Linked DNA regions of Struthio camelus. The protein of the gene in region 1 interacts with the protein of each later gene in a biochemical or structural test. Links are inferred from orthologs where the notes say so. Each region holds a gene or a part of one and is shown in the gene's direction. Other genes may lie near its edges. The genes, in order: UBE2A, RNF20, RNF40 and RAD18.

Region 1 (7,370 bases):
TTTCTCCTTCCACTTTCCTTGTCCAACAGGTCAAGGAGAGTCTCCCTGCAAAAGCTCTGCCTGCTGCTCCTTGGTTAGCTCGATAGGTAGTTGTGCATGATTTTAAGTTCAGGAGGACTAGAGGAACACCTCTGTACAATCTGTAAAGGAAAAAAGATCCTGACAAAGCTACAGATTACCTATGACTGTACCAAGACCTCTCTATACTCTGATATACTCGGTCTGATCTGCAAGATAACTTCTGCATAGACAGCCAACAGATCACAGGGACTGGTGTTCAACAGTGAGGAAAACACTCACCAACTCCTGTAGCCGCCTTTTGCTCATGCCTTTGCGTTCCAGCTGCTTCTCAATCACTTTTGCATTCTGTGCATAGGAGTCTGCAATCTCCCTCTGAAACACAGTGTCACTTTGCAACAGTAAACCCTAGACTAATAGCATCTCATCCAGCTGGTGAGGTAACCATCAGCTCTGATTCAGCTGCCCAGCTCAGATCTGACTGGCACTGAGGGCAGAGAAAACTCACCGCTTCAATCTCTTCCTCCTCTTCATCGATTGTGGAGACTGTGACCGAACTGAACTTGCCCATATCTTTGGTCCGTTTGGTCATCATCACCTGCACGACAAGTAGAGTATTTTGTTAGACTCTGGGAACAGTTGAGTTACTAAGTGTTCCCCACCCCAAAGCTTTTAAGGCTTCTATACAAGTCATTAAGATTACATGAACTTTGTGGGTGGCACAGCAGAAGCAGCCCCAGTGATTTCCGGGCTCAAAGCTGTCATTATCAGGAGCAAACTTGCCTACATATAACTAGATGAGCCAGATTTTGAGAATCTGTGCGCTTGGCAACACAGACTGGGGTGACTACCAGTCTGACCTATTTACAAATTGAAACTTTCTGGTAACTGAGGCCAAAGATCAGGCAGAGTCCAGACTTCCAAATTCACTTTGCTGTCCTTTAGTTCTAGGACTCCAAGCTGCTGTGACCTCTGTAACGAAAGACTAAAGGCACACATGGAGAAGACAGAGCTGAGTTATCTTATTACAGGTCCTCCTCCTCCTCCCAATTAGGCCATTTTATCCACTGCACCTTTTTGAAAAGCAGAGACAGCTTTGTTACTGCTCTAAAGCTGATTACCTTTTTGGGAGGCTCTTGTTTCTGAGTATATATGTTTGTTTTCCCAAAGCCCTGGCCAAATTTGACCACAGCACCATCGACAATGAAAGTCACTGGAGCGTTTTTCTGTTGGTGTTGATAAAAGAGCAGCAGTCCACACCTGAAAACAGAAACATATCTAGCTGTAAGAAAACCCAGATTCTGGATTCCCGTAGCTACCTAACAGACGGACTCCAAAAATTACTAAACGAAATCACGATTGCCATGCTCCTGTTCTTGCAGCAATTAAGGGTTGAAATGCACTTTGAAAGGTTGAAGCCTTTTACAAAAACGCATGATACCAGAATAAATCAGCAGCCATTAAAAATTAGTCAGTAACTTCTGATTTTGATTATCCTAGTGTTCCCATTTTCCTTTGCACTCAGTGACACACGCTTAGCTCATCCCTGTTTTCCTAGGTCACAAAAACAAGTAGCTCAATAAAACAAACAGTGCTGTACAGAAATGACAGGAAGCGTCAAGCAGTATTCTAGTTTTAGATTTGACATGGATCAAGGTTGTAAAACACTGTAACAGACCCTTCTCAGGAGGGCTATTTTCAGTAACTAAAACAGGGATTAAAATGTTATTTCTAAGGAGGCACGGCAAATCAAGGAGGGTTGAAAAATGTAAACAAGCACGCACAAACACTGTTTTCTGCTGTCTTGTGAACACTGGCTCTGTTGTCACTTACTTGCCACATTTCTTTCTGTACTGTCGCTCTATACCCTCTGGCCTGGGGGGAGAGAGAGAGAGCACGTTAAGAAAAGCGCACAGGCCCCAGACACGACCACTCGGCTGTAAAAGGAAGTGACTCTAGCAGGATAGGGATATGAAGGCTGGGACGCTCACTTTTCCCAAATTACAGAGGGACTTTGAAGGATCTCCCCATCTGGGATAGCAAGGGAAACGGACACAGCAGACGGAGAGGATAAACGGGGCAGACGCTGGGGAAGCTGCGAGGGGTAATCCTCAGCGGGGGAAGGGGCGGGGGGGGCATCAAACCCGAGCTCCTTCACCGGCCCCCTTCAGACGCCGCTTCCAGCAGTGTCCTTGCCGGCGCGCAGCAGGGGCGAGCCCCAGCCGAGCGGGGCGCCGGCCCACCTGCGCAGGTAGACGCTCTCCTCCTCCTCGGCGTTGCAGAACTTGTGCGCGTGTTTGGCGGCGTCGATCACCCGGGCGCGGTCCCGCGGCCGCATGGGCAGCTTCTCCAGCTGGCAGTCTGCGGGCACACGGCCGGCCCCGGCCGCTCAGGTCCGCGGCCGGCGGCGGCGGCGGCGGCGCCCCCCTCCTTCTCCCCCCTCCCCGGCCCCGAGCGCCCCGCTCGGCCTGACGGGCCGCGTCGGGGACCAACGGCCGCGCCGCTAACGGCCGCGCCGCCTCCCCCCCGGCCAACGGCCGCGCCGCTAACGGCCGCGCCGCTCCCCCCCCCCCCGGCCAACGGCCGCGCCGCCTCCCCCCCGGCCAACGGCCGCGCCGCTAACGGCCGCGCCGCTCCCCCCCCCCCCGGCCAACGGCCGCGCCGCTAACGGCCGCCCCGCTCCCCCCCCCCCCCCGGCCAACGGCCGCCGCCGCTGAGGGGAAGGCGCTGCCCGGGGGCTCCCCGGCCCGGCCCGGCTCACCCAGCACCAACACCATCTGGCCGCAGAGGCAGTAGTAGACGTGCAGCGGCTTCTCGCCATCGTCGTACTCCTCGCGGTCGCGGGTGTCGGAGCAGACGACGGAGCGCGACACCACCTTGGGCATGGCGGCGCCCGGCAGCGCCGCCCCGGCGGGCGGAGCCGCGGCCGCCCCTTCACCGCCCCTTCGTCACGGGCGAAGCGGCCGACGGAGCAACCAACGCCGGGAGCGGAGCGCCCCTTCCCTCAGGCGAGGCAGCGGGTTGCACCGAGGGGCTATGGCTGCTTCTCCTGCAGTTGGGAAGCGTGAGGCTGGTCACACGGGTCAGCACCAGGGGAGCTAAACGGATCCGCTTTCCAACTCCAGGACAGTCCAGCGCGATTGCACGTTAGAAGCAGAGCCGGAACAGCTGAATTCAGACCTTGAGTAATTTCTCTGAAAGCAACAAATAAAGTAGCCTCATCTGGGCCTGATCTCAGCACAAAGGCACTCCGAGTTGTGAGGAATGGAAAGATGGTTAAAAATGATTTCCTTTCGAATAGCTCCGTTCAGGTTTGTCCAGGCTTCGATCGTCCGCAGAGGAATAGCGATCTCATGCATACCAGAACCCAGGAAGTGGAACAAAGTCTCTTTTGGACAAACATCAATAACTTGCCCGTTTCTTATTGTGCAGTCTGAGTAAAAGTAGGGAAGGCCAAGAATAAGACAGATTTTTCAGTGTAGCCATGCAAGCAATATTTTCAATGTCTGATAAGCTTTAGCCATTTCTTTCTCTTACCTGACAAGTTCTGTCAATGGGAATGAGTCTTCCTCCCACGTCTTTTTCTTAAGCCACCTCCCCACATAACTATATTACATAAGATACAAATGTGGATAAGTTACAAAAACAGGGTCTATCCAGTCTCTTCTAGGTCGTAGCAGAGAGAAATTCTCTACGCTCAAAGGCTGCAAGAAAGGTAGAAGAGAGATTACTTTCTCTTAGAAGACTATGCGAGAGCAGAAAATGCACCATAGCAGGTGAAGGAGTAGAAAGACCTCCCTTCATTCTTTTAATTATTAGTCAAGATACTAAAGACTTATGATTTTAGTGCACTAGCTACCAGATTTTAATGGAGGGTGGATGTTGGCTCAGAAACAATTCAATGCAAACAGGAGATGGCACACGGACGCTTATAGAAGAAGAAACATTTACTGTGAGTAAATAAATGATAATAAACCACGGGTCCAAAAGACGCCCAACGTCACCTGCCCTCTAAGCCACAAGCAAAACACAGCAGCAGAAGCAGACACCGTTTTCCACTGAGTTACCACCACAAAACGCCCAGGCTGAGCACCGCCCGGGGGCGGGGCCGCCGCGGCCCGCCCGTCCCACCAGCAGCGCCGCCGCGGGGGGGAACGCGCGACGCGGCTCTGGGAAGGCAAGGCGGCCCGCCCTCCTTCCATGACGTCAGCAGGCCCATTCCGCTTCCGGCTCCCTCCGTCCGCGGCAGGCATTGGTACAGTCCCCGGTGCCCTAGGCCTCGCCCCCTCCGCCGCGGTGGTAGAGGCGGCTCCGAGGGCCGAGCGGCATCCGGCTCCGCCCCCCGCCCCCTCGCGGCAGTTGGTACAGGCCGGGCTCGCCCGGCAGCAGCGGAGGAGTCGGCGCAGCCCGCGGCCTCCCCCCGCGCCGGCCCGGTGGTAGCGGCCGCGGTCGCTCCTATTCTCCAGCGCTGCCGCCGCCTCCGGAGCTCGCTGCTGCCGCCGCCGTCCCTAGGCGCCGCGTCTCTCCCTCCGATAGTGTATGAGTGATTTATAACCCTGCGCCCGCCATGTCCACTCCGGCCCGTAGGCGCCTCATGCGGGACTTCAAGAGGTATCGAGGCCGCTGGCTGAGGGGAAAGGGAAGGGCGAGCGGGAGGAGGAAGAAGGGCTCAGCTCCACCGGGGGAGGAGGGGGCCAGCACAACATGGCGGCGGGGTAGGGCGCGCTCCGCTGATTGCGTAGCGCCGGGCCACGCCGTCTGGGCGCGGGTTACGCTGTTTGCGCAGGGGCGTGTAGCTACCTGCCCGGGTTACGCCAAATGCGCGGGGGGGGGGGGGGGGGCGGCCGGTGGCTCGAGCCGCGCCGGTGGCGCCCCGGGGCGGGGGCGCCGGGGCCGGGGCCGGGCGCCTGAGCCCTCCGTGTGCCCCGCAGGCTGCAGGAGGATCCCCCGGCCGGCGTGAGCGGGGCCCCCTCCGAGAACAACATCATGGTGTGGAACGCCGTCATCTTCGGGTGAGTGGGGCCGCGGGGCGGGCGGGCGGGCGGGGGGGGGGCGAGCCCAGGTGCCGCGCGGTAACGCTGTGCTCTGCTTCCTCTCCTCTAGGCCCGAGGGGACCCCCTTCGAGGACGGTAAGTGCGGCGGGGCGCGGGCCTCTCGGGTGAGGGGCGGCTTGGCACAGGCTCGGTGGGGCCCTGCCGCGGGCCGGGCGGCAGTTGCGGGCCTGGGGTGGGGAGGGGGCGAGTCCGGGATCCGCCTGGCAGCGCTCCGTCGCCGTGCCGCGCCCGCGACTTCAGTGCATCTCTTTCCTTCCCCACCTAAAGAAAGTGGAATAGACCTAGATTGCTGCCTTGATTTACAAAAACATGCAAATTAGCCTGTTGACCTTGATTTATGAAAACGTGCAAATTAGCCTGTAGAGGCTTGCTCATAATCACCAAATCAGGCTGTCCTCTGTCTGATCTAACATACCATTCTAGGGATATCAGAACGTTTTTGTTGAATTCTGGATCGTGTTTTAGAGATCGTGTTTATAGTTGGAGCACTGCCAAAAACCTGGTATAGACCTGTTGTCATCTCGAATGACATATCTTGGGTTGTGTCTTTTTTGATGCTGAAAATGCTTTACAAGTAGGTCCCAGTGTGAGCGAGGTAACATAAGGATATGGACTGGGTGTTTGAGGAAGTTCAGAATAGAAGTTTCTTTTCTTGCCACCTACCTCACTCTACTACAATCAGTATCATTCCAGGTTAAAGATTAAAATGACTTTTTCAACTTCAAAGCTGACTAAATAGGTCTGTGTAACATACCTGTGCACTACTTGTTTCTGTCTGGCCTTGCTCTCTTTTATAGCTCTACTGATGCTGTATGAATGTTTCAGCATCTTTGTAGAAACTCGTTAGACATGAAATACTGTCTAATTGAACTCAGTGATGCTTGCTTATTTATTTATTTATTTTAAGATACTTTCAGTGCAGGGCTATAATTAATCCTAGATCTTCATGACTCATGCCAAAAGCATAGGAAAAACTCTTTAACTCTTAAGTTGTTTTTGGCTGGCTCCTTTGTCTCTGCTTATCCTCAGAGGTAGCACCTGTAGGCAGGCCTGTAAATTCCACATCTCTTCGGTGAAGATGTTGAATACTTTCAGTATCTCATACCTGAGAAAACTCCATTTACTTGTTTTTGTTTTTAAATACATGATTATGCAAGAAGCTCTAGAAGTTTCTTGAAGAAAGTCTAATGTGGTTTGGAACTTGAGTGTTCTCCAACAAATATCACAGAAATGGCACAAGTGTCTTCTGTAATCTCATCTTGGAAACTTAAGAGGAGGACTTCCTTAAACTTCTGTGAGGGTTGATAGAGCTGCCTGGGTTCTTGGTACACGGGCACTAATAGAATGATTTGCTGTTTGGAGGCCTTCTCCTTCCAGTGTGGACCTGGTAAATTGCAGGTTGTTTCCATGTTCAGTCACTTCCAGTTCAGCATGAGGTAAACAGATGTTATAAGGGCTTTCTCCATATGTATCCATTTATTGACTGAAGACTGGAGACTGCTTCCGAGTGCCCTGACTTATTGATTGTGTCTGTGGCTTTCCATTATGGTAGTATTGTGCCTTTATCTCACATACTTAGGGCCTCTTGCACTCTCAGCAGTTTGAAGTTCAAACTGATGCTTGTGTTGGCTACGGCTGTCCTACTGCTTTGGTTGCTATAATAATATAATCTTGGTGTCTGATGGATTGCTCTTTTCATAGCAAAGTGTGTGTTTTCACGGCGCATGCTCAGGAAAACAGATATGTCTTGAGCTGCAGGATACACTTATCTCCTTTCCCCTGGCACATATCTTACATTGTGCTAGATAACAAAACACTAAGTGGTGCCTAGAGATATGGATGTAGTGGTTTCTATGTGCTTTTTCCCCCCCTTAACTGAGAGGACTAATGGTAGCACAGTTAAGATGCAGTTTAGCTTAATGTGGGTAAAATAAAAGGACCTTCTATTTAACAGTATTCAGATGTTAGTTTGGGCTTGTTTTGTAGCTGTTCAGCCCCTCGTGAGCCAAATGTATGCTAGCGTTCTGTAATTCTTCCCGTGAAGTCTTCACAGGGCTTAGTTCTTCAGAAGTCACTTTGTATTTTGGTTGTTGAACTCTGTCACTTCCTGGTGGTACTGCTAGACTCCAAATATATGGGTTTGTGTGAAAGTAGCCTGTGAAAATTTTCTTGTTAAACTGCAGCTATAGTAATTCCAGCACAGTGAAAATTACAGTTCTTCATCCTCGTTCTGGTGAGGCCTCCCTTGAATCTCAAATTCCAAAGTTTCTTAGGTTTATCTGAATTGAAAACCTTAAG
Region 2 (7,640 bases), on another chromosome or scaffold:
GTAAGTAATGAGCACGTTCAGATAAATCTCACTTTCCTTGCCCCATCTCATAACGCAACAATACAGAGCTTACCAAGATACAAACCAATTTCTGCATAACAACTCTTTAGAATTTAAGTGCATTATAGCTATGGATGATAGACTTAGGCTTATTCGGAGGAAACTAGTCATAGCACTGTTTCCAGAATCAATGCTTACAAAATCCCTCCATATGTAAGTGCCCTTGATGTTAGTAAATAGTTCAATGGGTATCCCTAGTAAATGTGCCCAAGCCTGGTGCACTACAACATGGCTTTTTCATTCCATTTCATACTCATGGCAACAGCATTGGACCCTTTGCTACATTTGTGAGAGGAGAAAAAAAAAATTGTCCTACTTTCGCAACCCACCCTTTGGCATAGTAAGGTAAAGGCAAAGTGATACAACAGCATATGATACTAAAGCAAACCTTAAAGAATCAAATTATGAGCACGGACTGAAGCTCTGTGCTTCAAAGGTCATATTTAAAATGCAACCTGGTAACTTTCTTACTGGCTGTCAGACTCTGATAACATGCAAGTCCTTGTTACACAAATCAACCAATAAGAAAGAGGTGTCTTTTAAGGCACTAGGATTTCTATTGTTGCTTCAGGAAGCCCATGATCAAAATAACAGAAGAATAAGATAAAATAATTTTGGAACCCGTAGTAGGTGATTCAGGAAATGAAGGGGGTTAGGCAGCTCAGTTTAGGAACTTCATCCTATTTATTTATTTATTGCGGTTGGTTTTCCAAGGAGAAAGCTACATTTGCTTTGAAGCCTAAGACCTGCAGGCACACAGGACAGGATCTGGCACTTTCTTTTGGAGTTAAGTTCCACTAATGAGCGTCTTCCTTCTCCTTCTTTTGTTTTTCTGTTTTTCTGGAGATTTTCCCTACTTTTCCTGTCAACCACATGATCTTGTGTAGTAGGCTTTCGGCGTATGTGTAAACTACCACAGAAAACAATAAGGGTTGTGTTTCATACCTGATATTCTAAGGTAACTACCCATCTGTTTGCCCTGCACTAAATACAGAAAAGGAGAACCTTGTGCTAAGGGCTAAGCAACCTTGTAATGTAAGATAAAATCAGTATGTTGTCATGAAGTAACAGGTTTGCTTTCACTTCACGGTTTAGCTAATGAGAGGTAGACTTGTTTGTGTGCTCACATAAAAAAAGACTTTTTCCACCCAAAAATTTATGGCAAGGGCTTAGCTCCATTTAATTGGGGGCTCTGGTTAGCTCTTTTAAGGCAGTCAGTCTGCAGTTCTGGATACTATTCTGCTTTGGCCCTACCCAGTGGTTGCTTGAGGACTGCATTTTTATAGCTTAGTCCTTAGTTCCATTTCTTTGACCTCTTTCCTTGCGTCTGCAACTTACAATCCCCTTCTCCATCTGCCACTGACAGCACCACCAGCTGACTGGCTGAAGCGTTTCTGCTCCTGGCTGTGGGATACATCTTTCTTCTGCTACATGTTCAGCAGATTCTAGGGCACACAACCTTTCCGGAAAAACAGAGGATTTCTCTCAGCCATCTGGGACAACGCCTCCTGTCAGCCATGTTCTCTGACTGAGTTTCACTTACAGATTTTTAGCAGGATCTGTTATGAACATCATGCTGCCTCTTATATGGCAATTTCTCCCAAAAGCAGCAGAGTTCTGCTGGATGAAGGATCTTTTGTGATTTGTCCTGGGTGTGTCAGACTTCCAAATTTAACTAGATGCCTGCACGCTGCCTGTCCAGACACACCTGGATAGCATGTGAATAGTTCACATTGCTGAGTCTCATCATCTTAGTTTACTGAAAAGGAAGCACTTCAAGCCATTTTCTAGGACTTTCATACCAAATGTTTGTTGTTCTTTGAGATGTATACATGCTATTCCCCTTAAAATTTGAGAGACAGACAACATTTAGGCTTTCATAGGTCCTTTTGATTTGGAATAGAGATTGATTTGACGAGAGGCTCAGGTATTCTCAGCGCAATTCTGGTCACAAGACTAAAGTCTTGTTTACACTGGCAGAACCAGTCAATTTGAGAGCCCTTTTGTAATCACTGCCCTAGCGTACTACTACTAGGAGCTCAGAAGTATCCTCTGTAGGCTGTTTCTTATGCTAACACAACTTTACTTATTCATTTTACCTCCAGTTTGGGTTGATGTTTCTTCATATCAGTCTCCTCTCTGCTCATATTCAAACATGAGCGCATGCTTTTCCAAACCTCTGCCCCAGTAATTCAAATTCCTGAGTAGCTGTAGTTTTGCATGAAGAATCTGCTTAAATCTCTCCTATAGCTATTGCAATTGAAGGACCTTGGTTAAACCTGCCAGTTTCAACAAGATGCAACACTACTTAAAATATTCCTAATGGACTGAAAATACTTCCAGATTACTCCTGCACACCTTGTAGTTCCTCTTCAGTGAGACTGGATTGCTCAGTTCTTCCAGTTTCTTCAGACAAGTATCTCAAGTATTAATACTCCCTCTCTTTCTCTCTTTAGCACCCTTATCAAGGCTTGCATTTCAACGATATCTGTCTTATCATCTGTGTATAAGAATTCACGAGGACATGGTAGCGAATCTATAATATCACTAGGGGAACTGCATATTCCTTCTAAGAACGGGAACAAGAATCTCAGTACTCAGAGAAAGACTACATGCCTTTCAGGAGTTACGTAAAGATCAGTGATAAAGGAAAGGAGGAGGAGGGCAATTTTGCTGTCTTCAGTTTGTCAGCGGTGTGCAAAAGTACACAGGTATCCTGAAATATAGCTGTCTCATTACTAGCATTACAGTCTGGCTGGCTAAAAAGGATTTTCCTGTTTAAACCTCTTTCTAGGGCACGCCCAAACTGTATGTAGTATACACTACATAAAATGAGAGCTCAAAGATCAATGTGGATATTTACTGAAAACATGGTAATTAATATAGATACTGAAGAGAATATGCTGAGTAGGAGGCTGTTTTGCAGGAAAAGGGTTTTTTTTTTTTCTGTGTGAAGGAAACACCAAGGTATGCAGAGACAGAAAAAACAGAAGATGAAATAAAAGTCTGTGACTGTCCTTACAGTCACAGCTTTGCAGTGATGATGTAAAGCTAAATTTTTTTTCCTACACAAGTCTATACAAGATCAGCATTCAAGGTGGGGGGGGGAAGGGAAAAATAGCACGGCGTCAAGGTGAAGAAAGCGCAAAGACTGAAAGCTAATGCTCATTCGAGAACCTGATTTTGAGTTTGTTCAGTTCAACAAAAAAGCTTGCATTGGTTTCAAAGATTTTCATCAAGGATTGCCTGCAGTAAGTATCAGTGAGCTCCCTTACCTTTTATTCTCAGCAAAGGGGTCTTCAGCTGAGAAATGCTGTGGGCAAAAAATGCATTAGCAAATATTTTGTACTTAGCAAGGCTTGAATGCAACCTTCTAAAAATACCCCGAGGGAGTATTCACCTTTTTAGTTCCGTTACATGACCATTATTCTCTGCTGTGCTATCACGTGGACGCAGACTTCAGCTAAGCTGGTAAACTGTCCCATATTAAGTGTTCTCACACTTCCTCATAAAACCAAGAAACTATCTTGCTCGCCAAGCTAGTTGTTGCACCTGCAGTGAAGAAAAAAATCACACAGGAAACATTTTCTTCGGAAACTTAGAATTTAATTCAGCCTAAAATCTTTTGTCTGGTAGTTTATTACTCTTGGGTATAGCAGTCACTGATACTGAGATTTTGTAATATGGCCACTGTTTTCTCTGTGGTGTTTTCAAAGAGAGAACAAAGAAACCAACTCTCGAGTTGGCAAAAAGAGACTCTCTGGGACTGCACAGAAAGCTTTCAGTTCCCTAAAGAGGCACACCTATTTCAAAATGATAAACAGAAAATAAACCCTGTCATACTGATCATGTCTGCTTCTGTTTTTCCACGTGTCAAGTGTTTCACCCTCTAGCAAGACGGGCGGACATGGAAACACGACTTTAAACAACAGTGCAGTTGGAGCTAGGCCAGGCGGAGTAGATGCGTTATTTTTATGTGGCGTTACATATACGAACAGGTGACCTGCATTGCAAAAGTTCACATACACCTGAATCCTAACTTCCTCAGAAATGAGGAAGTAGTCTCTTCTTCCCGTGCCTTCCTAACACCGCCCGCCCTGGTCGCTGCGGGGAGAGCCGAAGCCACGGCCCACGACGGACGGCGTTTCTCTCCTGCCGTCGTCCCCCCTGCCCGGGCGGCAGCGCTGCCCTCAGCCCCTCGCTCCTCCCGCAGGCGGGCAGCGGCGGCCGCCTCCGCCGCGGCCCTTCCCGGCAGCCATTTCGCAGCCCCGCGGCCAATGGACGAGCCCGGCGCCGAAAGAGAGACGCGTCCTCCCCGGCGCTGCCCGCGCGTCCCGCCGCCGCCGCCGCTCGGGCTGCCTCGGCCGCGCCTGCCCCGCCGGGCACCACCGGGGCGAGGAGGGAGGGCGGGCGCACGCCGCTGCCCCGCCTGAAGACGGCGGCTCGGCGAGGAAAGCGCCGCCGCTGCGGCGGGGCGGTGGCGACGGCCATCGCACGTGAGGGCAAGGGCGCTGGCTTCAGACGCCTCGGCAGCGCCATGGCAACGGCAGCCATGTCGGACGAGCGCAAGCGGCGGGCGGCGAGGCCGCCATGACGGGTGAGGGCGAGATGGCGGCCGGCAGCGCGGCGGCGCAGGGGCGGCACCGCCTGGCGTCCTCGCCTAGCGAGGGCCGGGATTGGACGGGAGGCGGCGGCCGTCACTTCCGGCCGGCCGCGGGGAGGCGGCGGCGGCGGCTGGGGGCGCGTATGGGCCGGCGGGGCCGCGGCCGGCGGTGCGGGTGCGGCGGGGGGCGCGTTGGGGACAGTGGCGGTGCGGCGGCGAGTGCGGGAGGGCCCCTGGGACGTGGGTGCCCCGTGTGTGTTGAGGGGGAGGGCCTGTTGTCGGAGCAGTCGTGTTGACCGCGGGGGGAGGTGGGCAGCGGGAACGGACGGGAGGCTGCCGGCGTAAACGGCGGCTGTGGAGGAGGCCCGAGTTTTGTATATGAGTGAGGAGAGCAAAAGGGATTGGGGGAGGGTGCGTTTCTTTGAAGTTGGCGTTGGTTGTGAGGTGGGATGGGTGGGGGCGGGGCAGAGGGAGGTGAAGGGTGGGATCTGTGCAGCGAGGGTGGCTGTGTGCACCGGGCAGAGTGAGTTCGTCATGGAGGGTGGGAGAGAGGAGCCTCGAAGTGTGTGGCAGGAACGGGCAGCTGTGTCGGGGGTTGTCTGGTTAGTATTGAGTTTAAAAGCTCAAACCCAGTTAGAAGGTAAGGGGCTGTGTATAAGTGGCGAAATATTACGTCTGGGGAAGGTTGCTGTCCGCAAATGATTGAGGGGGGTTGACTCTTGGCTGGTGGTAGGTGGGGGCGATGCCAGGTGGGAGTGTGTTTTGGTGCCTCTTAGTAAGAGAGGTTTGAAGGTAAGAGAGAGGCAGGAGGTATGACAGGCTGAGTGCCTGGTAAGGGAGAGCACCAGTCTTTGGCGAGCGTGGTCTGCTGTGGAGGTTGAGTGTGAAAGGACTGCGGCTGAGCTTGGGATTCAGTTCCTCAGGGAAAGCCAGGGGCTGTGGTCCTGAAGCCTTAGGGGCTGAGTTCTGGCACAGGGTACGTGAGAAAGTGAGTATATGAGAGATGGTGCCAGGAGGCAGTACAGTAAATGTTTTGTCCAGGGACAAAAAGGTTGAAAGGTGGTAGTCATTAATAACTCCTTGTCCTGAAGCATAGCAAATATAGCTTAGCAAAAGGTGTTCTCTCTCTGTCTGTCTGTCTCTCTTCTCCTCTCTCTTTTCTTTTCTTCTCCTAATTGTCTAGTCCTTGTAGCTAAAGTCATTGCCCACTGCATTACATTGCTGAAAGGAGAAAAATAGTTAAATGGAAGCTGCCTTTGAAACGTTTTTGAAATTAGAGATGTATTTAATGTTTTTTATTTCAAGACAGGTTATAAGAGCACGGGGAGAGATGTGTGGTATTTCAGTAACTCATTTTGAAATAGCCTTGCTACCGTTCTATATATGGTGAAAGCCGTTGTCAGAGTAAAATGCTGCTTAAAGAAGGTTTGGCAAAGCCACCAGTGTGCCAGCTTAATCTTCAAAATACAATAGCCTCATTACTTTCAATAGAACTACTCAAATAAAGCAAGTACATAAGTACTGCCAGGTTCATTTATAACCTGTAGTTGCACTGAAAGTGCCATTTTAGACTAAAATGGAAAAATACAAATCTTATTTGTATGCTATGCATTTTGTTTACTTTTATGTTTTAGTTAGTTGGGAAGTAGAAAGAGACCTGTAGATTGCATGGCCATTGTGAATATGGGAGAAGAATGCTACTTTCATCAAGTGAAGATCTAATTTGTTTCCTTGCCCAGCACTTGCAGCTGTATTTGTTTTGCAAACCTTTTGAAGAAATATTTGTTCCTTAATTAAAAAAAATCATATAGAACTAGTAGTCTAAAGTTTTTTCAGATTGCATTAATTTGGTCCCAAATAACGCTTCCAGAATGTTTATATCTCTTTTGAAACACACATAGCAAACTTACCAGAGGAGTCTTTACCAACCTCTCCTTGGAACTGCCTTTCATTTTACTAGTGTTTCTAAGGTCTTTATGTGAACTCTTATACGGCTTATCTTTGAGGTGCTGATGCCTTCAGCTTTATTTGACTGTGCATGTTGTTATCATAAGAATCCGGCTGGTACAAAGTGTATGCAAACTCAGGAAGTCTTTGGGTTATAGATAGTTCCTTGTAAAAGACAAATCATTTTTGTTAAAACACAGAGATAGAAAAGCCACAGGCTAAACCTGCATGAAATTTTTTTCCAAGGCGCATGACAAGGCACAGTGACTGTTTCTGAACGTTGCAGAGCAGTGGCTCTAATGCTATGTTATTTCTTTCATCCTTTTGCTACTCACCATGCTAGCCCTGCTGGGGCTACTCACTTTTGAACAATGTTTTCCAAAACTTTCTGAGTTAGATTTTTCTGTACTGTGTTGGGCATCTTACTGTGATGAATTGGTGCATTAAAAACCCTAAATGGAATTGACTCGGGGGGGGGGGGGTGTGCACGTGCATTTACTGTTTTTTTTTTTTAAATTGTGTTCTTTAATGTTAACGCAGAACTTAAAGAAGGGACAGTCTGCTACAAATCAGCCGCCATGTCTGGAGTTGGCAACAAACGGGCGGCTGCAGAGCCTGGCCCTTCTGCACCCCCAGAGAAGAAGGCAGGAGTTGAAGATTCAGGGACGACAGTGGAGACCATTAAGCTAGGCGGCGTTTCCTCAACGGTACGTCTTCCTTGCACACCTGCACTCAAGCTCTCGCTTGCTTATCTGGAAACAGAACTATCTTTCTTCCTTCTTTCTGAGCCCGGTGACCTTGGTTGTGGAGCATGCCAGTGCTGTGCCAGATGCATTGGTCTGACTTGTGCTTCTGCACAGGAGGAGTTGGACATCCGTACCCTACAGACCAAGAACCGGAAACTAGCAGAGATGCTGGACCAGCGGCAAGCAATTGAAGATGAGCTACGGGAACACATTGAGAAACTAGAGCGGCGGCAGGCCACTGATGATGCCTCTCTGCTGATTATCAATCGTTACTGGAACCAGGT
Region 3 (7,736 bases), on another chromosome or scaffold:
CCCCGTTACCCCAGGGCGTCCCCGTTACCCCCCCCCCGTTACCCCAGGGCGTCCCCGTTACCCCCCCCCCGTTACCCCAGGGCGTCCCCGTTACCCCCCCCCCGTTACCCCAGGGCGTCCCCGTTACCCCCCCCCTTTACCCCAGGGCGTCCCCGTTACCCCCCCCCCCCCCGTTACCCCAGGGCGTCCCCGTTACCCCCCCCCCGTTCCCCCAGGGCGTCCCCATTCCCCCCCCCCGTTCCCCCAGGGCGTCCCCGTTCCCCCCCCCCGTTACCCCAGGGCGTCCCCGTTACCCCCCCCCCCGTTACCCCAGGGCGTCCCCGTTACCCCCCCCCCCGTTCCCCCAGGGCGTCCCCGTTACCCCCCCCGTTACCCCCCCCGTTACCCCAGGGACCCTCTTTACACCTCCCCATTACCCTCCCATTACTCCTCAATAACCCCCCCCCCCATTACCCCCGGGCATCCCTGTTACCCTCCCCATTACCCCGGGGACCCTCATTACACCCCCCCCATTACCCTTGGGTAGTGCTGTCCCCCCCCCCATTGTCCCCTCTGTTACCCCTGGGCCCCCCCATGTTAATCTCAGTTCCCCCCCCCACCCCAGGGACCCTCATTACTTCTCTATTACCCCCTGTTACCCCTGGGTATCCCCATTACCCCCTCATTATCCTGGGGACCCTCATTACCCCCCCCATTACCCTGGGGACCGCTGTTCCCCCCCCCCCATTACCTCCTGTTTCTTCCTCGTTACCCTGGGGATCCTCATTACCCCCCGTTACCCCCCATTTCCCCCCCCATTACCCCTGGGGACCCCCATTATACCCCCCATTTCCCCCCCCCATTACCCCTGGGGACCCCCATTATACCCCCCATTTCCCCCCCCATTACCCCTGGGGACCCCCATTATACCCCCCATTTCCCCCCCCATTACCCCTGGGGACCCCCATTATACCCCCCATTTCCCCCCCCATTACCCCTGGGGACCCCCATTATACCCCCCATTTCCCCCCCCATTACCCCTGGGGACCCCCATTATACCCCCCATTTCCCCCCCCATTACCCCTGGGGACCCCCGTTACCCCCCATTACTTCCGCATTACCCCTGGGGACCCCCGTTACCCCCCATTACCCCGGGGGAGTCCTGTTCCCCTCCATTACTCCCCTGTTACCCCTGGGGACCCCTGTTACCCCCATTACCCCTGGGCATCCCTGTTCACCCCATTCCCCCTCGTTACCCCTGGGGACACCCGTTACCGTCTGTTACCCTTGAACACCCCCCCTTACCCTCCTTTACCCCCTGTTACCCCAGGGACCCCCCATTACCCCCCGGTTACCCCTCTGTTACCCCATCCCGTTACCCCATCCCATTACTCCGTTACCCCTGGGCATCCCCGTTACCCCGGGGACCCCCATTACTGCCGTTACCCCCCATTACCCCCCTTCCCCCACTTACCCCTGGGGACCCCCATTACCCCCCCCACTACTCCGTGTTACCCCTGGGACCCCTGTTACCCCTGAGCATCCCCATTACCCCCCCCCATTACCCCTGGAGACCTCTGTTATCCCTCCCTTATTGCCCCCCCATCACCCTCTATCATCCCCCTGGTACCCTCCCTGTTACCCCTTGTTCTCCCCTGGTTCCCCCCCCCACTTTAGCTTTTGGGCCCCTGTTACCCTCCTGTTACCTCTCGGTACCCCCGTTACCCTCCCATTAACCCCTCAGGACCCGTGTTACTCTCTTGTCCCCCCCGTTATCCTCCTTGTTACCCCTTGTTACCACCTTGTTACCCCCGTTATTCCCGTGTTACCCCGTTGTTACCCCGTTACCCTTCCTTACCCTGCAGCAACCTCTGTATCACCCCCGTTACCCTCGTGCACCCCATTACCCCCATCATTTCCTCGTTTCCCCTTTTCTGCCCGCTTCTCCGCTGTTACCTCCCTTTTACCCCCTCGTTACCCTTCATTAGTCCCTCGTTACCCCTGTTTCCCCCTTTTCTGCCCCTTGCTCCCCTGTTATCCCCCTGTTGTTACCCCGTTATTCGTCGTGCCCCTTGTCCCCCCCGTAACCCCTTTGTTACTCTGTGTTAGTATTTCTTTCTCCTTTTTGTGCCCGTTACTGCCTTATTACTCTTTTCTTCGTTGTGCTGTTTCCCCATCCCTCCTTTACAACCCCTTCGTTACCCCTCGTTACTCTGTTACTCCCCCATTCCCCCATTTTCTGCTCGTTACTCCCCCGTTACTCTCTTCCCTTATTACTGTTTTTCTGACCCTGTCGTTACTCCTTGTTACTCTGTGTTACTTCCCCGTTTCCCCCTTTTTGCCTGTTGTCCCCTCCTACCCTCCTTGTTCGCTTGTTACCCTGCTTCTACCCTGTTCGTCTTCTGTAATCTTTTTGTTACTCCTCGTTACTCCGTGTTACTCCCCCGTTTGCCCACTTTCTGCCCGTCGGTCCGGCGTCGCCGTTCTTTCATCCTTCGTTTGCCCCTTTCCCTGGTTGTTACCTTGTTTTCGTCATTATTGTCTTATAACCTCCTTGTTACTCTGTGTTACTCTGTGTTACTGCCCCATTAGCCCCCTTTTGTCCCCCTGCAATCCCTGTTACTTCTCTATGACTGTCTTGTTACTTCATGTTACTCTTGTCCCCCCCCCCCCACCTTTTTTTCTTCCCTCGTCGCCACCTGTTTTCCTATTACTCTTTTGTGGCTGCACTGTTACTCTTTGTTACCCTGTGTTACTCCCCCCCCCCCCAATTTTTTGTTTTACTCCCCTGTTAGCTCTCTTTTCCCTTTCCTACCCACCATTACTCTAAGTCACATGTTACTCCATGTTACTCCACGTTACCTCCCCATTCCCCTTTCGTTATCCCCCGTATTCCAGTTGCTCTCGTATAACCCCCTTGTTACTGCTGGTTACTCTGCGTTACTCCACCATTACCCCCCTTTCCTCCCCCCCGTAGCGCCTGCTGCTTGTTACCCTATGTTACTTCCCGTCCCCCCTTTTCCGCTCGTTACTCCCTTCTCCCCTTTGTTACCCTGCTCTTTGTTGTTCTTTTACCGCCCCTTGTTACTCTGTGTTACTCCCACGGTCCCCCTCCTCTGCCTTTCTCCCCTGCTGGCTCCCTTTTTCCGCCTTGTAACCGCTGTTACTCTTTCTCGAGTAGCGTGACTGCGTTGTTACTCTGCATTACTCTCCCGTTCCCCTTTTCTCACCTTGTTACTGCTCCTTTTTATTTTATTATTCTGTATTTTTATGTTACTCTTGCTTTGCTGCTTTATTAGTTCACGTTACTCTGTTACTGCGTCATTAGCTCCTCCTGCTTTGTAACCAGCGTTACTCTCTTAATAACACCTTGTTACCCCCTATTACTTCCCCATTCCCCCCCTTTCCCCTCGTTACTCCCCCGCTGCCCCCTTCCCCCCGGCCTTTCCCAGTCCCATTACAGCCCGTTTCGCTGTTACCCTTTTATAACACCCCTAATTATTCCCCGTTACTCCTTGTTACTCCCTGTTACGCCATCATTTTCGTGTTTCCCCCTCATCTCGCATTACTCCTTGTTCCCCTGTTACTTCCTAATGCTCAGTGTTGCTTCCTCTTCCCCCATTCTGCCCTGATACCCACTGTTACTTGACGTTACTCCCTGTTACTCCCTCATTTTCCTGTCACCCCTCATCCCTGCATTACTCCCTGTTACCCCCCATTGCTCAGCGTTGCTCCCTGTTCCCCCCATTTCTCCCTGACAGCTGCTGTTACTCGATGTCACTCCTTGTTACTTCCTGTTACTATCTCATTTTCCTATTCAGCTCTCACCCCGCGTTACTCCCCATTTCCCCCTCATTACCCCCCCAATGCCCAGCGTTACTCCCCCTTTCCCCATCCCGCCCGGATACCCGTTGCTACTCAATGTTACTCCTTGTTACTCCCTGTTACTCCCTCATTTTCCTATCACCGCTCACCCCGCGTTACTCCGTTACCCCCCAATGCCCGGCTTTGCTCCGTCTTCCCCGTCCTGCCCTGATACCTGCTGTTACTTGACGTTGCTCCTTGTTACTTCCTGTTACTATCTCATTTTCCTATTTAGCTCTCACGCCTTGTTACTCCCCGTTTCCCCCTTGTTACCCCCCTAATGCCAGTGTTGTTCCCTCTCCCACCCGTCCCGCTGTCATACCTGCTGTTACTTGGCGTTACTCCTCGTTACTCCCTGTTACTCTCTCATGTTCCTGTTCACCCCTCACCCTGCATTACTCCCCGTTGCCACCCAATGCTCAGCATTGCTCCCTCTTCCCCCCACCCCGCCCTGATACCTGCTGTTACTTGGTGTTACTCCTTGTTACTTGCTGTTACTATCTCATTTTCCTATTCAGCTCTCACCCCGCGTTACTCCCCATTTCCCCCTCGTTACCCCCCAATGCCCAGCGTTACTCCCTCTTTCCCCGCCCCGCCCTGATACCCGCTGTTACTTGATGTTGCTCTTTGTTACTCCCTGTTACCCCCTCATTTTCCTGTTCACCCCTCGCCCCTTGTTACTCCCCGTTACTCCCCAATGCTCAGCGTTGCTCCCTCCCCCCCACCCCCTGGATACTCACTGTTACTCTACGTTACTCCTTGTTACTCCCTGTTACTCACCGCGACTCCCGGTCGCGCTCTGCTCCTCAGCGTCACCGGCCAGCGCTCCGGGCGGCCCCGTCCGGCCGGCGCCATGTCGGGGGCGGGGGGCAAGCGGGCGGCGGGCGAGGGGGGCGCCGGCCCCCCCGAGAAGAAGGCGCCGCGCGACGAGCAGCCCCCGACCACCCTCATCGAGCCCCTGCGCCTCGGCGGCATCTCCTCCACGGTGGGTACCCGCTGCGCGCCCCCGGACGCCTGGGTCCCCTCTCTCCCCCGGACACCTGGGTCCCCCCTCTTCCCCCCCCCTCCCCCCCGGGCGCCTGGGTCCCCCCCTCCCCCCCGGGCGCCTGGGTCCCCCCCCCGGACGCCTGGGTCCCCTCTCCCCCCCCCCCCCGGGCGCCTGGGTCCGTCCCCCCCACCCCGGACGCCTGGGTCCCCTCTTCCCCCCCCCCCCCCCACCCGGACGCCTGGGTCCATCCTGCCCCCGGACGCCTGGGTCCCCCCCCCCCCCCCCCCGGGCGCCTGGGTCCCCTCTTCCCCCCCCCCCCCCCCCCCCAACCCGGACGCCTGGGTCCTTCTCACACCCGGACGCCTGGGTCCCCTCTCCCCCCCTGCACACCCGGTCGCCTGGGTCCATCCTGCCCCCGGACGCCTGGGTCCCTTCTCCTCTCCCCCCTCCCCCCTGCCAGACACCTGGGTCCCCTGGGGTGGCCAGACCTTCCCAGGCCCGGACACCTGGGCCCCCCAGACACCTGGGTCCCCTGGGGTGGCCTGAACCTGGTGGGTGCCCGGACGCCTGGGCCCCGCGGATTGGCCGGGATGCCAGGACACCTGGGTCCCCCAGAGGCCTGGGTCCTCTGAGGTCACCTGAGCATGATGGGTGCTGGGACACCTGGGCCCCCCGGACACCTGGGCCCCCCAGAGTGGCCTGAGCTTGGCCGGGATGCCAGGACACCTGGGCCCCCCGGACACCTGGGCCCCCCAGAGTGGCCTGAGCCTGGTATGGATGTTGGGACGCCTGGGTGCCCCGGACACCTGGGCCCCCCAGAGCGGCCTGAGCTTGGCCGGGATGCCAGGACGCCTGGGTCCCCCGGACACCTGGGCCCCCCAGAGCGGCCTGAGCCTGGCAGAGGCGGAAGGTGGGGTGGGGGGGGGGACCCCGGGTTGCCGGGGGTGGGGGGGCGCCGCGGGAGGCTGACGGCGCGCCCGGACGCCTGGGCCCCGCAGGAGGAGATGGACCTGAAGGTGCTGCAGTTCAAGAACAAGAAGCTGGCGGAGCGGCTGGAGCAGCGGCAGGCGTGCGAGGACGAGCTGCGCGAGCGCATCGAGAAGCTCGAGAAGCGCCAGGCCACCGACGACGCCACCCTCCTCATCGTCAACCGCTACTGGGGCCAGGTGGCGTGTCCCCCCCCCCCCCCCAAAACCCCATCCCTGACCCCAAATTGCATCCTGGCACCCCAAAATCCCGTCCCCGAACCCCAAACCCCATCCTGACACCCCAAAATCCTGTCTTCCAGCCCCAAAATCCCATCCCGGGGCCCCAAAGTCCTGTCCCCGAACCCCAAACCCCATCCCGGCACCCCAAAATCCTGTCTTCCACCCCCCAAAATCCTGTCCTGACCCCCCAAAATCCCGTCCCCGAACCCCAAACCCCATCCTGACACCCCAAAATCCTGTCTTCCAGCCCCAAAATCCCATCCTGACGCCCCAAAGTCCTGTCCCCGAACCCCAAACCCCATCCCGGCACCCCAAAATCCTGTCTTCCACCCCCCAAAATCCTGTCCTGACCCCCCAAAATCACGTCCCCGAACCCCAAACCCCATCCTGACACCCCAAAATCCTGTCTTCCAGCCCCAAAATCCCATCCCGGGGCCCCAAAGTCCCGTCCCCGAACCCCAAACCCCGTCCCGGCACCCCAAAATCCTGTCTTCCACCCCCCAAAATCCTGTCCTGACCCCCCAAAATCCTGTTTTTGAACCCCCAAATCCCACCCTGACACCCCAAAATCCTGTCTTCCAGCCCCAAAATCCCATCCCGGGGCCCCAAAGTCCCATCCCCGAACCCCAAATCCCATCCCGGCACCCCAAAATCCTGTCTTCCACCCCCCAAAATCCTGTCCTGACCCCCCAAAATCCCGTCCCCAAACCCCAAACCCCATCCTGACACCCCAAAATCCTGTCTTCCAGCCCCAAAATCCCATCCTGGGGCCCCAAAGTCCTGTCCCCGAACCCCAAACCCCGTCCCGGCACCCCAAAATCCTGTCTTCCACCCCCCAAAATCCTGTCCTGACCCCCCAAAATCCTGTTTTTGAACCCCCAAATCCCACCCTGACACCCCAAAATCCTGTCTTCCAGCCCCAAAATCCCATCCCGGGGCCCCAAAGTCCCGTCCCCGAACCCCAAATCCCATCCCGGCACCCCAAAATCCTGTCTTCCACCCCCCAAAATCCCGTCCCCAAACCCCAAACCCCATCCTGACACCCCAAAATCCTGTCTTCCAGCCCCAAAATCCCATCCTGGGGCCCCAAAGTCCTGTCCCCGAACCCCAAACCCCATCCTGGCACCCCAAAATCCTGTCTTCCACCCCCCAAAGTCCTGTCCTGACCCCCCCAAATCCTGTTTTTGAACCCCCAAATCTCATCCTGGCACCCCAAAATCCTGTCTTCCAGCCCCAAAATCCCATCCCGGTGCCCCAAAGTCCCGTCCCCGAACCCCAAACCCCGTCCCCGAACCCCAAACCCCGTCCCGGCACCCCAAACCCCGTCCCGGCACCCCAAAATCCTGTCCTGACCCCCCAAAATCCTGTCCTGACCTCCTAAAATCCTGTTTTTGAACCCCCAAACCCCATCCTAACACCCCAAAATCCTCTCTTCCAGCCCCAAAATCCCATCCCGGGGCCCCAAAGTCCTGTCCCCGAACCCCAAACCCCGTCCCGGCACCCCAAAATCCTGTCTTCCACCCCCCAAAATCCTGTCCTGACCCCCCAAAATCCTGTTTTTGAACCCCCAAATCCCACCCTGACACCCCAAAATCCTGTCTTCCAGCCCCAAAATCCCATCCCGGGGCCCCAAAGTCCCGTCCCCGAACCCCAAATCCCATCCCGGCACCCCAAAATCCTGTCTTCCACCCCCCAAA
Region 4 (7,844 bases), on another chromosome or scaffold:
CTGTTTGACAGGGAGCTGGAAGGGGTGTCTGCCGTTCTTCCACAGCTAGCTCCCGGCAGGCTGCTCCGTCTCTTCTGCCTCCAGTTAACCAACCTCCTCCATCAGCGATGACCCAGCAGGAAGGGACTGGCGGCCAAGCAACGCATATGCGCGTCCGTCTCTGGGGACCATGCCTTATGGGCACACAGCCGTCCCCGCGGCCCCTCCTGAGCAGGTGCCACCTGGGCTCCCTTACCCTATTGCTCTTGGTGTAGCTGCTGGTGATGGCGAAGGTTTCTTCTGCCCAGGGCACGGGTTTCTTCACGGCAACGTGTCTCACAAATTAAGTGCTTGGAACGCAATCGCTACCCGTCAGGATAATTTTGCATCACAGTGAAGAATGTGGTAGGGGTGTCAGTAATGCTGGGGCACCTGAGGCCTGGTGCCCTCTCAGTGGCGGGAGCAGAGACCGTGCCAGCGCTTTCCTCCCTTCCCAATGCCGTCTCACAGCTGTCCTGACTTGCCTTTCCACGGAAATGCAGTTCCCATGTCGCTGGGGACGAGGGTCGCCGTACATTGCCCATCCCCTCTTGCCAAGAACCCATAGCCACTTCTAAGAATATTTCACCGAATAGCAGGCATTTTGGAGCCAAACGCTGCATTTTCATGCAGCGAGGCAAAGGAGAAGCTTTTATTAATACCCCAGCTGAAGGGCTCCTCAGCTCGCTCCCCACTTCTTCTAGGTTGTTTCATAAGGCGTTTTACCATGGAAATATTTTGTTACTTATTCAGTAGCAGCATGCATAGCTGTGGCTCAGCAATAAACACATTGCCCTTTGCTATTCATCAGTCTACCAAAGTACAGAATAAACATGTTGCTGTGCTAATGAAACCCTTATGTCAATTCCTGGGCAGAATCAGTTAATCGCTAGCCAATAAGCTTGTCTCATAAGCTATGTGAAACTGGAACAAGAATGTATGAGGGAAGAGAAAGAAGAGAAAATTTAAAAAGATCCGTAAGAAACTGATATATCAATTTCTCATAGCTTAGAGAAAGCAGAAGAAATGGATTCCTTAAAATGTTAGAACAAGCACTTAAACTGCAATGAAATTATCCTGTAAATACTACGTATTTTTAGCACATCTCAGGCAGTAATTAGTACCATTCAAATATACAAATTCAGAGATTTAAAGCATAAGCCCAGCAGAGACTACTATGATAATTTGTTCTGACCTCCTCCATCCTATGGTCATGGTGTGTCCTATATATATACATAAAAAGTGTGTGTGTGTGTGTGTGTGTGTGTGTGTGTGTGTGTACATAAAAGAATTATTGAGTACCAGTTCATGGAGCTTGACTTTATTTTACCAAAAAAGCAGATTAGAGTGAATCAGGAGCAAGTCCGTTGAAATTGCACTACTGCAAAACTTGTCTTATGGGAAAAATGAGGCACTCATGTGCATGGTTTTCAGATAACAGCACAATTGAGTCACTGGCAGGTGCAAAACTGAGGTGCTCAAAACCAACCTGTGAGCTGAAGGAGGGCAGAGAGCAAGATATTACTGTTCTGCAGATTAATGTACAAATGTTAAACCTGCATGTGTATGTGGAAAAACCTTTGCTCCTATAAATTTAATCAGTAATAAAATTCATAACTGTGCAGCACGCAGGGAACTCTATCAGTGGATTATGCTGGGCTGCCTGCTGGTGGACTGGCATCTGCTCATCTTGATTGAGCACGCTGTGCATCGGGCACTCCTTGAGCGGCAGCTGGCATGACCTTGCTTTAGGCCTTAGCGTTTGAAATTTGGATTGCATGAAGCTTTGTCACTGTTAAGGCAAAGCACATTTTCGCTCTGGAAAACCGTAGGTACTAGCAGAAATGGAATTTCATCTTCTGAACTCTGCCTTGCATTGCCAATGTTTATTAGAAAAAGCAAGAAGAGGGTGGCCCTTCCTGGGACGTTTTTATAAGACAATGTAGATGCTTCAGTGTGACTGTTTCCAAGATAAAGTCATTCCTTTCATCGAGCCATATTTAGTGTAATCTGCTACTGAAAATGTCAGTAGCAGAACTGACAGGCTACCTTAAAGAAGATTGATAAACACTAATGAATACACTGCAGGAAGACAGAGGGATGACGGCACAGTTCCAAGCAAGCGTATTGAAGCAGAAGTTTTCTGTGCAAAAAAATCTATTTTGACATAATTGGTATTTACAGTAGAAATGCAACCTCTGCCAGCAAATCCATATATTTCTCCAACACAGACAGCTATTAATCACACCAGCAAACAGCGTCACGTTGAGATTGGTGGAAAAACTTCCATAAAATCAGATTTTAAGTTAAAAGGAAATAGAGCTGCGGAAGCACAGGTACTACTGTGCTAACTGTTGTCAATATATCACATTTTTATTTTCTTACTTTACAGAGTATTTTTCCAAAGCATGATAGGACTGAGGATTCAAAGTCATTTAGACTTGTTTTGGCATTTTATCCTATACTGCTTTGGCAATGCACTAAGTTCCCCAAACTCCTGGACAACTTTTAAACCTTCTGCAAGCGCATCAGTAGTGCTCAGTCATGATCAGTGCTACCTGCCCCTTTTTGTTTGTTTTCCATCCATGCAGCTTTTTATTTTTAGCCTGGGTTTTGCGGTGCCCACTTTGAGGAGAACAAGCAGCTCAATCTCAGCCTTTGTGGCCGATGGAAGCGATGGTGATAATGTGCGTTACCATAGCAACCCATCCCCGCGACAGGTACGCGCATACAGCAGGTTGTTCCCATAGCACAGGTCTGACGTACACCTCTACAGAGAAATGTAAACAGAAAAAGTTACCTGTGCTGAGATGAAGTAGGTTAATTGCAAAAGAGAAGTTAAGTAGGAGACCATTTCCCCAGATGTTTTGGACAGTGTTTTAGCTATTTTTTAAATGAATATACCCTGGAAGACACAGACAAAGACTATCATAGCAGCTAATAGCATCCCTCAGTGCCGCATCTCATTTTTCACCTGAGTGAACAGTTATGACAGTGGTTGAGAATTGTATGGCATCTAGAAACCATCCATAAGAGTGCAGTGAAGAGGACACATGCATAGAAATGAGTGCCATGATTTTAGCGCTTATGTGTGTCCCCTGTCCTACTCTGTCACCTGTCTTTCCTCAGTTATTATATCACACTGTTCCAGCAATATTAGATTGCAAAACAAATCAATTCACAATCCTGACTTCTTGTTGCCATTAACTCTGCTGCTGCAACACATGCTTTTAAACAGTGAAGCTGATATAGCGTTGACAAGGGATAGCATGACATAGCTCCATTGCTGAAGAAACAAAACCACATCTGGCAGATTCAGCGTTTATTAATCCGTGGAGTAAACAGATCCTTGACGTAGTCCTGCTGAGATCAGCAAAGTCAGACCAGCTGCAAAATCAGCTCCATCTCCCAGGCGCCCCTGCGACCGCGCGTAACCGCCTGGTACGCTCCCCATGTACACCGCTATCTCTTTGACATAAAGAAGATCCAAACTCGATTTTAGCCTTTACCCCAGTCAACATGCTTTTCTCCCTACCTGGAGAGAAAAGTTGGATATTGTATCGTGTCACAGTGAAGGAGAGAAGGAAAGCCACGTTGGGTAACCACCTTCTCCTACCCGCGCTACCGCAGACACGACCGCTGCCATCAACGCCCCGACGCTCAGCGTGCCACCTGGACGGTTCTGGGCTTGGTTTTGGTTTTTAACGTGGCCTCTTCTCCGGGTTCCCCCATCCTGCTGTCAGCGGTGTCTCTAAATCTAACTCTTTGTGCTGCAGTAGCTCTGCACCAGCTGGACTGCCCTCTCTCTACACACAGCTAACCCCTGCACTAACAGTCTATCTACCGTTTTGACCACTGCACCCGTTCTTTGTTTTCAGCCAAAACATGTTGTATCTGCCCAAAACACTGCTGCAAATGTTATTTTTGGCTCACTTCCATTTCTCTCTGAAAGCAAAATAGTGATGAAAGCTGAATGGCAAATTGAGTATTTCTACAAAGCAAAATGTCATATGGGGGCTCTATTATAAAAATAATGTGAATTACTGAGGCTCAGAACAGGATCTTAGTCCGTCCCTTGCGTACTACAAGGGAACACTGGCTGGTGCGGGGGTTTCTGCCCGCGTCGGTTCAAGCGAGCCGACGCCTTCGGCCCGGCCTTGCCTCAAAGGCCGTTTAAACGCAGCCTTTTTTGGGGGGCTACGCGCACACCCCAGGGCCATCGGCCTCCCGCCGGCGCCAGGCCGCCCCCGACAACCCACCCGGCGCCCGGCGAGCGCTTCGCGCGCTGCTCCTCCGCAGGGCCTGTAACGTTCCCCGAGCACGAGTTTTTGAATTAAACGTCATTAGGAAATGAAAAATGAGTAATATGCTCTAGTTGGGGGGAAAAAATGCTCAGTTTTGGGTTCGTATCGGGCGCGGAGGCGCGGGCAGGCCGCTCCCCCCCCCCCCCGCCGCGCACCGCCGCCCCTCAGGCAGCCGTTAAACGCTCCGCTCGCGCCTACAGCGGGGGGGGCCGAGTCCGCCCCCGCCCCGCGGACTACAACTCCCGGCAGCCCGCGCGGCGGCCCGGGAAGCCGCAGGGAGGCTGAGTCCGCCCCCGCCCCGCGGACTACAACTCCCAGCAGCCCGCGCGGCGGCCCGGGAAGCCGCGGGGAAGCCGAGTCCGCCCCCGCCCCGCGGACTACAACTCCCGGCAGCCCGCGCGGCGGCCCGGGAAGCCGCGGGGAAGCCGAGTCCGCCCCCGCCCCGCGGACTACAACTCCCGGCAGCCCGGCGGAAGCGCGCCGACGTCGCGGCGCGCGGAGCGCGGGGGATTTGGACGCGCCGGCGGCCGCGGCAGGGCCGTGCCGTGCCGTGTCGTGCCGTGCCAGGGCGCTATGGCCGCCGCGGCGCTGGCGCTGCCTCTGCCCCTGCCCGAGCCGCCGTGGCCGCCCGGCCTGGCCCCTCTGAAGGCGCGTGAGGGCGGAGCGGCGGCGGGCCTGCGCCCCGCGGGGAGGGTGACATGGCGGCCGCGGGCCGAGGGGGGCAGCCAAAATGGCGGGGGGGGAGGCGTGAGGGGAGCCCGTGAGGGGAGCGGTGTCCGCCCGGCGGCGGGAAGGGCCTGGGCCCGGCGCGGCCCGGGGCTGAGGGCGGCCGGCTCCGCTCTGCTCAGGCTTCGCCGTCCCCAGCCGGGCGCCCGGCGAGGCTTCGCTCTGCAGGGGTCTGCCGCGGCACCTCTTTCGGATATAAGTAATGCCGGGCATTAAATTCCACCCTTGCGGGCTGCGGGTGGTGCGTTTCGGTCTGTGTCGCTTAAGAATGTGGTGCGCAAGGTCTTATGCTGTGCGAAGTGTGTGTTTGCTCGTTCGCGGTTCACGCAAGAAGTCCTCTAAGTGACCTGTGTTTTCCTTTCAGGCGGTGGACGACTTGTTGCGGTGTGGGATATGTTTTGATTACTTCAATATTGCAATGATCATTCCACAGTGCTCACATAACTGTAAGTACGATTTAAGGAAGCATGATTTCCTGTACTGAAAGTACTATGTAAATTTCTTGCTGTTCTTGACTCATTTCATCCTACTATCTCTTGTAATTTGCTATTATTTTTTGTTCATAGAGGTGAACGTGGAACTGTTATTTCCTTTTCATTGTAAATCTATACCTGCTGTCCCATGATTAACACTGTATTTTATTGAAGATCACATAAAAATCTGTATTGATTTGGGTGATTAAAATCAAGGTTTAATAAAAATTAGACTTATGAATGGCTCTAGAATAGGAGTCAAAGTGATCTTTTTATGGCAAGTTGCTAAATGGGTGATGAATTCATTTTTCCCACTATGCTATGGCTTTTAATATAATTTAAGATTATATTTTGTTTAGTTTGCACCTTCCCATTTATTCCAAGGAGTATAAGGGTGGCTGTGATAGTAGTGCATCTTGGCCTTATGACTCCAGTTATGCCTAATCTGTCATTCAGCTGACAGATTAGGACGAAAACAGAAGGCCAAAGAAGGCATATAGAATATTGAGTGGATGGCTCTGTCCTCCTATATCTTTCCTGGAAAACACAGGACTGGAGAGTGGCCTTGTGGTTTTTATTACGGGTTGACAAAATCCACTTGCGCCTTATCTGTGTGACAGAAAGCCACTGAAGAAACTTTCTTTTCTAAACTTACTTTTATAAACTTTCTCCTCTATGGTTTTATAGACAAGCCATCGTTTGACCAATTATTATTTACTGGAGTGTAGTGCAGAGGCTATCGATCCTTTATTTCCTTTACAAAATTTTCAGTGCTACTCCACAGTTTAGTCAGCAAAGAAGTTTGCCTGTGCAATATTGCAGAGGACCTCTTTTGGATGAGAGCTGTGAAGCAGCCACCAACTTTTCCACGAGCAGTTTGGGTGCAGCCTCTGTTCTGATGATGATACAAATGCACATACTGTCTGGATTAACTTAAATCCCATCTATTCCTAAAATCCTTCATTTAAATGTCTTTCATAAAATCTTGAGGTAGGAGCAAATCTCAGAGCTGTATGGCAGAAAGCATTGAGTATTATGAGCTAGAATTTTTCATGCCACACTGTCTGCTTCAGGCTGAAATCTGTTGGAAGGTGGTAACAAAACGGTTTACTGAAGTCAGATTAGGAGAAAGTACACTGCCTGTCTCATGTTAAAATGAATGCCTATGATTGTTTCATTCAGAAACTGTAGTACTGTCTTACAAAAAGGAGAACGTTGTAGTTTGGCAATGAGATTTAGCTTAGCTTGGTAAAACTGTAAGCGACTGAAAACAGTGGAAGAAGCACTGGAAATTCCTTACGGTAGCTGGTGTTACTAGCCTGCCTGTGACACAGCTCAGTTCAATGGCCCTTAACTTGAATAAGAAACTGTCTATCTTACTGTGTTTCACAGGTTATATATTTGACTTTTTCCTTCCCGATTTGCAACAAGCCTAAGTTTTCTACAATAAATCAGGATTTCTTTAAGGCCTTAAAAGTAGGGCCTTCCTGTTTTTTTTCTTTTTTTTTTTTTTTAAATCCTAAACTCATCTCGCAAACTGAATCAATTTATGCTGAGGTGGTTTAAGAGGTTATTACCACCAGATGTGCTTCTTATTGGTTGGTGTTCGTTACCGCTTGTAGTAGGAGTATTAAAACATGCTGCCCCTCCTGAGGAATCTAAAGGGCTTAAATGACCCAGTGACTGTGACATGGTTGAGGGATGTCTCCGATCCGCGCGCTGCAGCGGCCTCCAGCAAGGGACTGAGCTGGGTGATGGGAAGAGCTACTGACCGCATCAGCCCCCTGTGAATTAGCAGCTTTCCCAAGTCGCAGCCTTCGTCCAAGCACAGCTCAGCATGAGCGCAGCTCTGCGGTCTTGGCCTGTGTCAAGAGTAGTGTGGAAAGTGGGGCTTTGACTTACTCATATAGAAATGTCCACAGCTGTTGGAGGGAGCTCTTTCCTGTCATTCAGGATTTCTCTTTTTTAAAATCTTTGTTGAACTTGCCAGCCTGTTTCTAGCTAAGCAGGTTTCAGAGTTGCTTGTTCACTTAGAGTTCTAGATGCCTGGTGTGTAAATTGTGGCATCCTTGACTCTTGTTCGTTACAGAGGTTTGTAATGTCCCGAGGCCAAGCTTGTTTTGTTCCTCTTTGTTCTCTCCACCTTGCTTCTTTCAGTTTAAGCTTAATGGAGTGGATTATTTGCTGGCAATGCTTTGTATGTTTCTACTCTGTCATTTTCATTTAAGCGTTCAGAACTGTTTCTCAGATTAAATTAATATTTTGAGATTCTCTTCCTTTCTATATACTGAAATACGTGGCTGCCGCCAAGCGTTATAATGAG

What was found.
Region 2: the proteins of UBE2A (region 1) and RNF20 form a complex in vitro, tested with the Homo sapiens proteins (4 studies listed by BioGRID, with this or other methods). The link is inferred for Struthio camelus from reciprocal best matches to the Homo sapiens genes UBE2A and RNF20.
Region 3: the proteins of UBE2A (region 1) and RNF40 form a complex in vitro, tested with the Homo sapiens proteins (3 studies listed by BioGRID). The link is inferred for Struthio camelus from reciprocal best matches to the Homo sapiens genes UBE2A and RNF40.
Region 4: the proteins of UBE2A (region 1) and RAD18 form a complex in vitro, tested with the Homo sapiens proteins (12 studies listed by BioGRID, with this or other methods). The link is inferred for Struthio camelus from reciprocal best matches to the Homo sapiens genes UBE2A and RAD18.

The regions. Positions count from the first base shown.
Region 1 is NC_090952.1:12,048,055-12,055,424, reverse strand, and holds the start of UBE2A (ubiquitin-conjugating enzyme E2 A), read left to right. Parts: upstream 1-4,226; 5' UTR 4,227-4,585; coding exon 4,586-4,629; intron 4,630-4,949; coding exon 4,950-5,030; intron 5,031-5,121; coding exon 5,122-5,147; intron 5,148-7,370. Other genes in the region: STEEP1 (STING ER exit protein), read right to left, coding at 301-393, 527-616, 1,140-1,278, 1,852-1,893, 2,262-2,379, 2,780-2,903. UniProt on the Homo sapiens protein: E2 ubiquitin-conjugating enzyme that accepts ubiquitin from the ubiquitin-activating enzyme E1 and transfers it to a E3 ubiquitin-protein ligase. In vitro catalyzes 'Lys-11', as well as 'Lys-48'-linked polyubiquitination.
Region 2 is NC_090982.1:15,765,598-15,773,237, reverse strand, and holds the start of RNF20 (E3 ubiquitin-protein ligase BRE1A), read left to right. Parts: upstream 1-4,632; 5' UTR 4,633-4,650; coding exon 4,651-4,657; intron 4,658-4,752; exon of another isoform or gene 4,753-4,838; intron 4,839-5,133; exon of another isoform or gene 5,134-5,265; intron 5,266-7,150; coding exon 7,151-7,317; intron 7,318-7,470; coding exon 7,471-7,638; intron 7,639-7,640. UniProt on the Homo sapiens protein: Component of the RNF20/40 E3 ubiquitin-protein ligase complex that mediates monoubiquitination of 'Lys-120' of histone H2B (H2BK120ub1).
Region 3 is NC_090973.1:1,071,751-1,079,486, forward strand, and holds the start of RNF40 (E3 ubiquitin-protein ligase BRE1B), read left to right. Parts: upstream 1-4,654; 5' UTR 4,655-4,696; coding exon 4,697-4,828; intron 4,829-5,829; coding exon 5,830-5,997; intron 5,998-7,736.
Region 4 is NC_090955.1:1,140,664-1,148,507, forward strand, and holds the start of RAD18 (E3 ubiquitin-protein ligase RAD18), read left to right. Parts: upstream 1-4,722; 5' UTR 4,723-4,895; coding exon 4,896-4,970; intron 4,971-5,082; exon of another isoform or gene 5,083-5,299; intron 5,300-5,412; coding exon 5,413-5,494; intron 5,495-7,844. UniProt on the Homo sapiens protein: E3 ubiquitin-protein ligase involved in postreplication repair of UV-damaged DNA. Postreplication repair functions in gap-filling of a daughter strand on replication of damaged DNA.